2 linked regions of the Xenopus tropicalis genome follow. The protein of the gene in region 1 purifies or fractionates together with the protein of each later gene. This does not show direct contact. Links are inferred from orthologs where the notes say so. Each region holds a gene or a part of one and is shown on either strand. Other genes may lie near its edges.

Region 1 (4,352 bases):
TCGCAACCAAGGGGCAGGTGGGTGCCCCCCAGTCGCAACCAAGGGGCAGGTGGGTGCCCCCCAGTCGCAACCAAGGGGCAGGTGGGTGCCCCCCAGTCGCAACCAAGGGGCAGGTGGGTGCCCCCCAGTCGCAACCAAGGGGCAGGTGGGTGCCCCCCAGTCGCAACCAAGGGGCAGGTGGGTGCCCCCCAGTCGCAACCAAGGGGCAGGTGGGTGCCCCCCAGTCGCAACCAAGGGGCAGGTGGGTGCCCCCCAGTCGCAACCAAGGGGCAGGTGGGTGCCCCCCAGTCGCAACCAAGGGGCAGGTGGGTGCCCCCCAGTCGCAACCAAGGGGCAGGTGGGTGCCACCCAGTCGCAACCAAGGGGCAGGTGGGTGCCACCCAGTCGCAACCAAGGGGCAGGTGGGTGCCACCCAGTCGCAACCAAGGGGCAGGTGGGTGCCACCCAGTCGCAACCAAGGGGCAGGTGGGTGCCACCCAGTCGCAACCAAGGGGAAGGTGGGTGCCACCCAGTCGCAACCAAGGGGCAGGTGGGTGCCCCCCAGTCGCAACCAAGGGGAAGGTGGGTGCCACCCAGTCGCAACCAAGGGGCAGGTGGGTGCCACCCAGTCGCAACCAAGGGGCAGGTGGGTGCCCCCCAGTCACAACCAAGGGGCAGGTGGGTGCCAGCCCAGTCACAACCAAGGGGCAGGTGGGTGCCAGCCCAGTTACAACCAAGGGGCAGGTGGGTGCCAGCCCAGTTACAACCAAGGGGCAGGTGGGTGCCACCCAGTCACAACCAAGGGGCAGGTGGGTGCCAGCCCAGTTACAACCAAGGGGCAGGTGGGTGCCAGCCCAGTTACAACCAAGGAGCAGGTGGGTGCCAGCCCAGTTACAACCAAGGGGCAGGTGGGTGCCACCCAGTCACAACCAAGGGGCAGGTGGGTGCCAGCCCAGTCACAACCAAGGGGCAGGTGGGTGCCAGCCCAGTCACAACCAAGGGGCAGGTGGGTGCCAGCCCAGTTACAACCAAGGGGCAGGTGGGTGCCAGCCCAGTTACAACCAAGGGGCAGGTGGGTGCCACCCAGTCACAACCAAGGGGCAGGTGGGTGCCACCCAGTCACAACCAAGGGGCAGGTGGGTGCCAGCCCAGTCACAACCAAGGGGCAGGTGGGTGCCAGCCCAGTCACAACCAAGGGGCAGGTGGGTGCCAGCCCAGTTACAACCAAGGGGCAGGTGGGTGCCAGCCCAGTTACAACCAAGGGGCAGGTGGGTGCCACCCAGTCACAACCAAGGGGCAGGTGGGTGCCAGCCCAGTTACAACCAAGGGGCAGGTGGGTGCCAGCCCAGTTACAACCAAGGAGCAGGTGGGTGCCAGCCCAGTTACAACCAAGGGGCAGGTGGGTGCCACCCAGTCACAACCAAGGGGCAGGTGGGTGCCAGCCCAGTTACAACCAAGGGGCAGGTGGGTGCCCCCCAGTCACAACCAAGGGGCAGGTGGGTGCCCCCCAGTCACAACCAAGGGGCAGGTGGGTGCCCCCCAGTCACAACCAAGGGGCAGGTGGGTGCCCCCCAGTCACAAGAAAGGAGCAAGTGGACGCTCCCCAGTTACAAGCAAGGGGCAGGTGGGTGCCAGCCCAGTTACAACCAAGGGGCAGGTGGGTGCCACCCAGTCACAACCAAGGGGCAGGTGGGTGCCAGCCCAGTTACAACCAAGGGGCAGGTGGGTGCCAGCCCAGTTACAACCAAGGAGCAGGTGGGTGCCAGCCCAGTTACAACCAAGGGGCAGGTGGGTGCCACCCAGTCACAACCAAGGGGCAGGTGGGTGCCAGCCCAGTTACAACCAAGGGGCAGGTGGGTGCCCCCCAGTCACAACCAAGGGGCAGGTGGGTGCCCCCCAGTCACAACCAAGGGGCAGGTGGGTGCCCCCCAGTCACAACCAAGGGGCAGGTGGGTGCCCCCCAGTCACAACCAAGGGGCAGGTGGGTGCCCCCCAGTCACAAGAAAGGAGCAAGTGGACGCTCCCCAGTTACAAGCAAGGGGCAGGTGGGTGCCAGCCCAGTTACAACCAAGGGGCAGGTGGGTGCCACCCAGTCACAACCAAGGGGCAGGTGGGTGCCAGCCCAGTTACAACCAAGGGGCAGGTGGGTGCCAGCCCAGTTACAACCAAGGAGCAGGTGGGTGCCAGCCCAGTTACAACCAAGGGGCAGGTGGGTGCCACCCAGTCACAACCAAGGGGCAGGTGGGTGCCAGCCCAGTTACAACCAAGGGGCAGGTGGGTGCCCCCCAGTCACAACCAAGGGGCAGGTGGGTGCCCCCCAGTCACAACCAAGGGGCAGGTGGGTGCCCCCCAGTCACAAGAAAGGAGCAAGTGGACGCTCCCCAGTTACAAGCAAGGGGCAGGTGGGTGCCAGCCCAGTTACAACCAAGGGGCAGGTGGGTGCCACCCAGTCACAACCAAGGGGCAGGTGGGTGCCCCCCAGTCACAAGAAAGGAGCAAGTGGACGCTCCCCAGTTACAAGCAAGGGGCAGGTGGGTGCCAGCCCAGTTACAACCAAGGGGCAGGTGGGTGCCCCCCAGTCACAAGAAAGGAGCAAGTGGACGCTCCCCAGTTACAAGCAAGGGGCAGGTGGGTCCCCCCGACACAAGGAAGAGGCAGGTTATTGCCCCTGCCTGGGTACAATGAGAGGTGCCAGTGGGTACCCAGAAGAGGCAGGTAGGTAGGCAGCACAGTAAGAAGTATCAGCACAGGGGTTGCATTAGAGTGAGATACGCTAGCGACACTCAGTAAATTGGCGCAATGCTGCTGGTTACCTGTGCGGATAGAAGACTCCAGGTGCCCGAGCAAACAGCGCAGCCAACACTCGCACCTCCTGCTCCTCCTGCCCCTACCGCTGCTGCTCTTTCTCTTCAGGGGACACTTCGTTTCCGGTCACGTGAACTCCATTCCACTTGACGTTCATGGGAGGCGGGGCCCAGAGAGGGACGCAACACTGTGGGCGGGGCGTGGGATGGGCCTGCTTCTGGGAGAGTGGCCGTACGGCGCTACTAGCTTCTGTTGTGCTGTGTTCATGCCGTTTATCGGGGGATTAAACTGAGACAACTCTGGAACGGTGCGGGGAGTTGATTATTTTTAGGCTGGGTTAGGGCGTAGTAGTAGTAGAAGTAGTTTAATAAATATTAATAAACAAATATATATAAAATTAAAATAACATAATTAAAATTAATATAAAATAAATATATATTAGATTCAAGTAAAGAACACACTAGGTTTAAAGACTCTACATCTGGCTGAAAACTGTTTCTTCTGTGCTTTGTAAAGTAGTTCACTATGGGGTATATTTATGATGCTGTCAAGCATTACTGGTGATGTTGCCCAGGACAACCAATCAGCAATTAGATTTCAACAGCATCTGATTGGCTGCTATAAGCAACATCACCATTTATGTTTTACTCCACTTTTTATACAGCACAATAAATATTCCCCTATAGGTCTAACCCATAGCAACCAGTTTCTATGGGGCAAAACTAAACAGACGTGATACCCACATTGGGTCTGCTGATCTGGTTGATTTCAAGCCACACTGTCCCACAGTTGGTCCATCAAAATTGAACATTTCATCTTCTGATTTACCCTCCTTGTACATACTGTTCCCTTTCCTAAAGAGTTAATACCTTCAATGTGTCAGGGCCAGCTCATTACATTTCCAGTGACTGTAAGGACTAATTAGTAAGTAATTGGCATATTCATATTAATGCCAGGAAGGAAGTGAGCACAGCACCCATGAGCACAGCACCCAGTGACGTGGTATCTGTGAACCCGACAATCAGACTCCTGACAAGATCCTACTCATAAGATTAAAGGAACAGTAACACCTAAAAATGAAAGTGTATAGAAGTAATTACAGTATAATGTACTGTTGCCCCGCACTGGTACAACTGCCTCAGAAATGTATATAAACAAAGCTGCTGTGTAGCCACAGGGCAGCCATTCAAAGAAGAAAAGATAAAACACCATTGTATTCTACAGAGGTTATCTGTTATCTGCTATGTAACCTGTGCCTTTTCTCCTTTTTTCCAGCTTGAATGGCTGCCCCCATGGCTACACAGCAGCTTATTTATATAAACTATATTAGTGTTACTGAAGCAAACACACAGCTTTTACCAGTGCAGGGCAACAGTCCATTTTATTTTAATTACTTGAAAAAAAACTTTCATTTTTTGGTGTTACTGTTCCTTTAAGACCCTAAAGCTGGCTACACTCAGGTACACCTTTTACCCAAGTTTCCAACCTCTGCAGTGGGGAAATCTTGCCACCAATCTCCATCAGATTCCATTTAGCCAATGACATTCCAGAAAACCCTATACCAGTTG
Region 2 (3,820 bases), on another chromosome or scaffold:
TTTATCAAGTATTTCTGATTTCCTTTACAAATAAAGTGCTTATTATTTTTGGTGAGTTTTCAAAATGATTCTCTGCTGGGGAAAAATCCACTGCTTATATGAGATACAGATCTCTCCATGGAACAGGCCAGATAGAAGAACAGAAAGAAAGCAAATATGGGATTCTTAGAAAATAGATTTACTCTTGCAAGCTCAGAATTTTCTTATTAAGCTTTATTAGTTGTTTTCCATAACTGCACCAAAATATTACACAGTGTTTTTAGGAATAACATTTATAATTAGTGGGGTAACCAAAGCACTACTTTTAGTGAACGTTTTTCTGTTCATTTAAAGTAAGGAAGGAGGTATATGGACACATGCCCAGATAAGCTGTGGAGAAGTTGTTACAATTTGCAACATCAGTGTTTAGTCCCTCCTCCCCTGCCTGGATTTCAAATGAACGGTTTTGCAGCTGGATTCCAACTAGGGATGCACCGAACACAGGTTTTTGGGTTCGGCCGAATACAGAACCAAATCCGAATCCTAATTAGCATATTTCCGGGAGTGAAATTTCTTTCACTTCTGTGTTCGCACGGACATTTAACCCTAATTATGCTAATTAGGATTCGGTTCGGCCAGGATTCAGCCAAATTCAGCCAAATCAGAACCCTGCCAAAAAAGGCCAAATCCTGGCCAAATCCCGAACCGAATCCTGGATTCGGTGCATCCCTAATTCCAACATATAAAAATTATATTTATTTGTACTTTTTGAAGGAACAGATTACACTGATAGGTATATTAGGGGTTTCTGTGTTGTATGTTTTAGGTTGGAAGCTTGAGTTCCTCTTTTATTAGCATCAATACGGTGAAGGAACCAATCAGAACTAACACAATAAAAACCAATCCAATGCTGACAAGTAAATGCTAATTGCTGATTAGTTGCTATGGGTTACTAGATCCAGGAAAATGTTACACCTTTTATTACAATAATTTCAAATGAGAATAGACATAAAGATACCAAACAAGCAGATCTTTGTCTGATTTGGCCATCAATGTGCTGGGCTAAGTCAGACTGATCTGATCATTCAGCTACTGGGCCAATGATCGGATCATAAAAAAGCCCTATGCAGGTCTGTCGGGAGAGGACTACACCCACACACTGATTTGCTTGTCTCCCAGTACAGCACCTCTCCACTGGACTTCTTTACCTTTATACAAGGATTTAAGCTAAATAGTTTCAGCAGCACAGGGATTGGTAAAGCACCAGGCACAAAATGTGAAGGAAACCTCGGGAGAGACATAGAAAGAGGTGGTACTTGTAAAACAAATGGTTTGGTCTGTGGTAGAAAGGAGATGGTTGGAGGCTCATGTGAAAGAAGCCTTAAGTTGCTGTACTCTGCTGGCTCTCTTAGTAGACGTCTTATTGGGTGGTGGGGTTTGCCAAGATCTTCTAGGGGTCCTTAGAGTGTTTTTTCTCCAAGTACATAAGAGTAACACAACAGTCCAGTTTATATATATATATATATATATATATATATATATATAATGTATTATTCTTGAGACTACAATTTAAACATTGACAATTTTCATGGTTGCATCTTTGTGTGGACACATGTATGTATGTATGTATATCTTTATTTATAAAGCGCTACTTATGTACACAGCGCTGTACAGTAGAATACTGTACATCTGTTTGCAGATGTTAATATTTCTTTTTTAGGATATTGGATTATCGTACATAACTCATTTGGTGGAAAAACGAGATTATGACATGGCAGCAAGGTAACTGCATGACTACTTGCCTGGGTTTATTAAAGGAGAAGGAAAGGTAAAAACTAAGTAAGCTTTATCAGAAAGGTCTATGTAAATACAGCCATAAGCACTCACAGAAACACTGCACTGAGTCCTCTATCAAAAGAAACACATGATTGATTGTCTCCTGTTTTCCTGTGCCAGAGTCTGGCACTTTGACTCATTCAGTTGTATTTGTAAAGTACATATGTATAGGCCATCAACTTAATACTAGTACTAAAATGTTTCCAATCGGAGTGCAGCCTTTATTACCCCGCACATCTGGTGGGGGAAGCAATATCCTTAAATTACTCTTAAAAGGGGAAGATATATAGTGAAATCTAACACATAAATGAGTTTCTTATGAATGAGATTTTTTTTTTCAGAAAATGTCAGAAAATACTTGGCAAAAATATGAAACTCTGGGAAGATGAAGTCTATCGGTTCAAGAAAATAGGGCAACTTAAGGTAATGTTTAAAACATGTATGTAGTACAGGTGTTGGATCTTTTATCTGGAAACCTGTTATGCAGAAAGCACTGGAATGCCATCTCCCATAGACTCCATTTTAATAAAATAATCGAGTCGCTGCTGTCATGATTCAGTTACCGGGGGCAGCAAAAAGTCGTTTCTGGTAACTTAAAGAGCCGAAATTCCGATTTTAAATCAGAATTTTGGCTCTTCTAGTGCAGCGAGCGCTATAGGGTAAATTAACTCCCTCATGTTTCATCCAGTTTCAAGTGAAACTTAAACACATTATCGTTTTCCAAGAATGAGCACCAATGCTCCTAAAATGGCTGCTGGAGCAATTCCTGTGTGGGAAATATAAAGAGGATTAATGGAAACGAATGTTAGTTTAAACTCAAATTTTTTCAAGTTTTAACGACACGGCTCTCGGCTTAAAAAATTCGGGATTTCCAAATATAAACTCGAAAATTTTATACAAATGATTCAAGTATTACCGTGACATTTTTATGAATATAACAATAAACGAGTTTAATTCAAATTTATACCATGTCAAGTTTATATGATTTTCATTCATCCAGGTCACAATATAAAGTATCTAGTAGAATTAAGTCTAAAACAACTGGACTTTTTCTGAGTTTTTTCTTGAAAACCTTTCACCACTCATCCGAGTGGCTTCTTCAGTTCAAATGGTTTAAATGCCGGGGAATTCCTTACCAGTCATTTGAACTGAAGAAGCCACTCTGATGAGTGGTGAAAGTTTTCAAGAAAAAGTAAATCTGGGAAAAAACGAAACATAAAAAAAAAAAAAAAATCAAACTTTTCTCAGAGAACCTAAGTAAATGGGCCCCTTACTGTCTCTTATTACCATACTTTTGGGGGGTTAGTGTGTTAGTGTATTGCAGCTAAAAATGAAATGTATCTCTGTCTTGCAGGCAATAAGCAAGTATCTGCCCAGGGGAGATTTACGTCTGAGACCTGCAATTTATGAAATGATCTTGGATGAGTTTTTGAAAACAGATTATGAGGTATTGTGTTCATTTTAATACAATATTATGCACATTTATTGCCCATGATTCAAGGCACACAAAAGTTCTGAATGCAAATGGAGCTGTAACTATTGTATCTCTTTAGAATATTACATCATCTTTAAAGGGAGTAATATAAAACAGTTTCACTACCCAACACTACTTCTACATAGCCAGCCATAGACCTCTCAATTTTTTTTAAAAGTTAAGTACCTAGTGTGAAATGCACCAAGGCATGTCATATAACAACTCCAAAAATATACATTTATAATACACAAGAACCATGAATATCCTGTAAATAATATCCTTATAACCGGTACTTAGTGATGTCATCAGTTATAATTGGTACTTAGTGATGTCATTTCTGCCACATGACTCACTGAAAGTTGTATATTATAATAAAGTCCCCCCTGTGAAAAATATGAGGATATTACCTTGGAGTTCCATGACCTGTATAAATGCACTCTGTCTCCGGCCTTGCTCCTTTTTATGGTCATAAAACCCCTGGGTGACTTATAATATCCTTATTTTTACAGTAGTGAGTATATTATTCACTAT

Evidence for each region.
Region 2: the proteins of plekhm1 (region 1) and vps41 purify together in Homo sapiens (affinity purification with western blotting; 4 studies listed by BioGRID and IntAct, with this or other methods). This does not show direct contact. The link is inferred for Xenopus tropicalis from reciprocal best matches to the Homo sapiens genes PLEKHM1 and VPS41.

What each region holds. Positions count from the first base shown.
Region 1 is NC_030686.2:37,758,933-37,763,284, reverse strand, and holds the start of plekhm1 (pleckstrin homology domain-containing family M member 1), read right to left. Parts: upstream 2,973-4,352; 5' UTR 2,793-2,972; intron 1-2,792. UniProt on the Homo sapiens protein: Acts as a multivalent adapter protein that regulates Rab7-dependent and HOPS complex-dependent fusion events in the endolysosomal system and couples autophagic and the endocytic trafficking pathways.
Region 2 is NC_030679.2:130,755,954-130,759,773, forward strand, and holds part of vps41 (vacuolar protein sorting-associated protein 41 homolog), read left to right. Parts: intron 1-1,699; coding exon 1,700-1,761; intron 1,762-2,156; coding exon 2,157-2,238; intron 2,239-3,169; coding exon 3,170-3,262; intron 3,263-3,820. UniProt on the Homo sapiens protein: Plays a role in vesicle-mediated protein trafficking to lysosomal compartments including the endocytic membrane transport and autophagic pathways. Acts as a component of the HOPS endosomal tethering complex.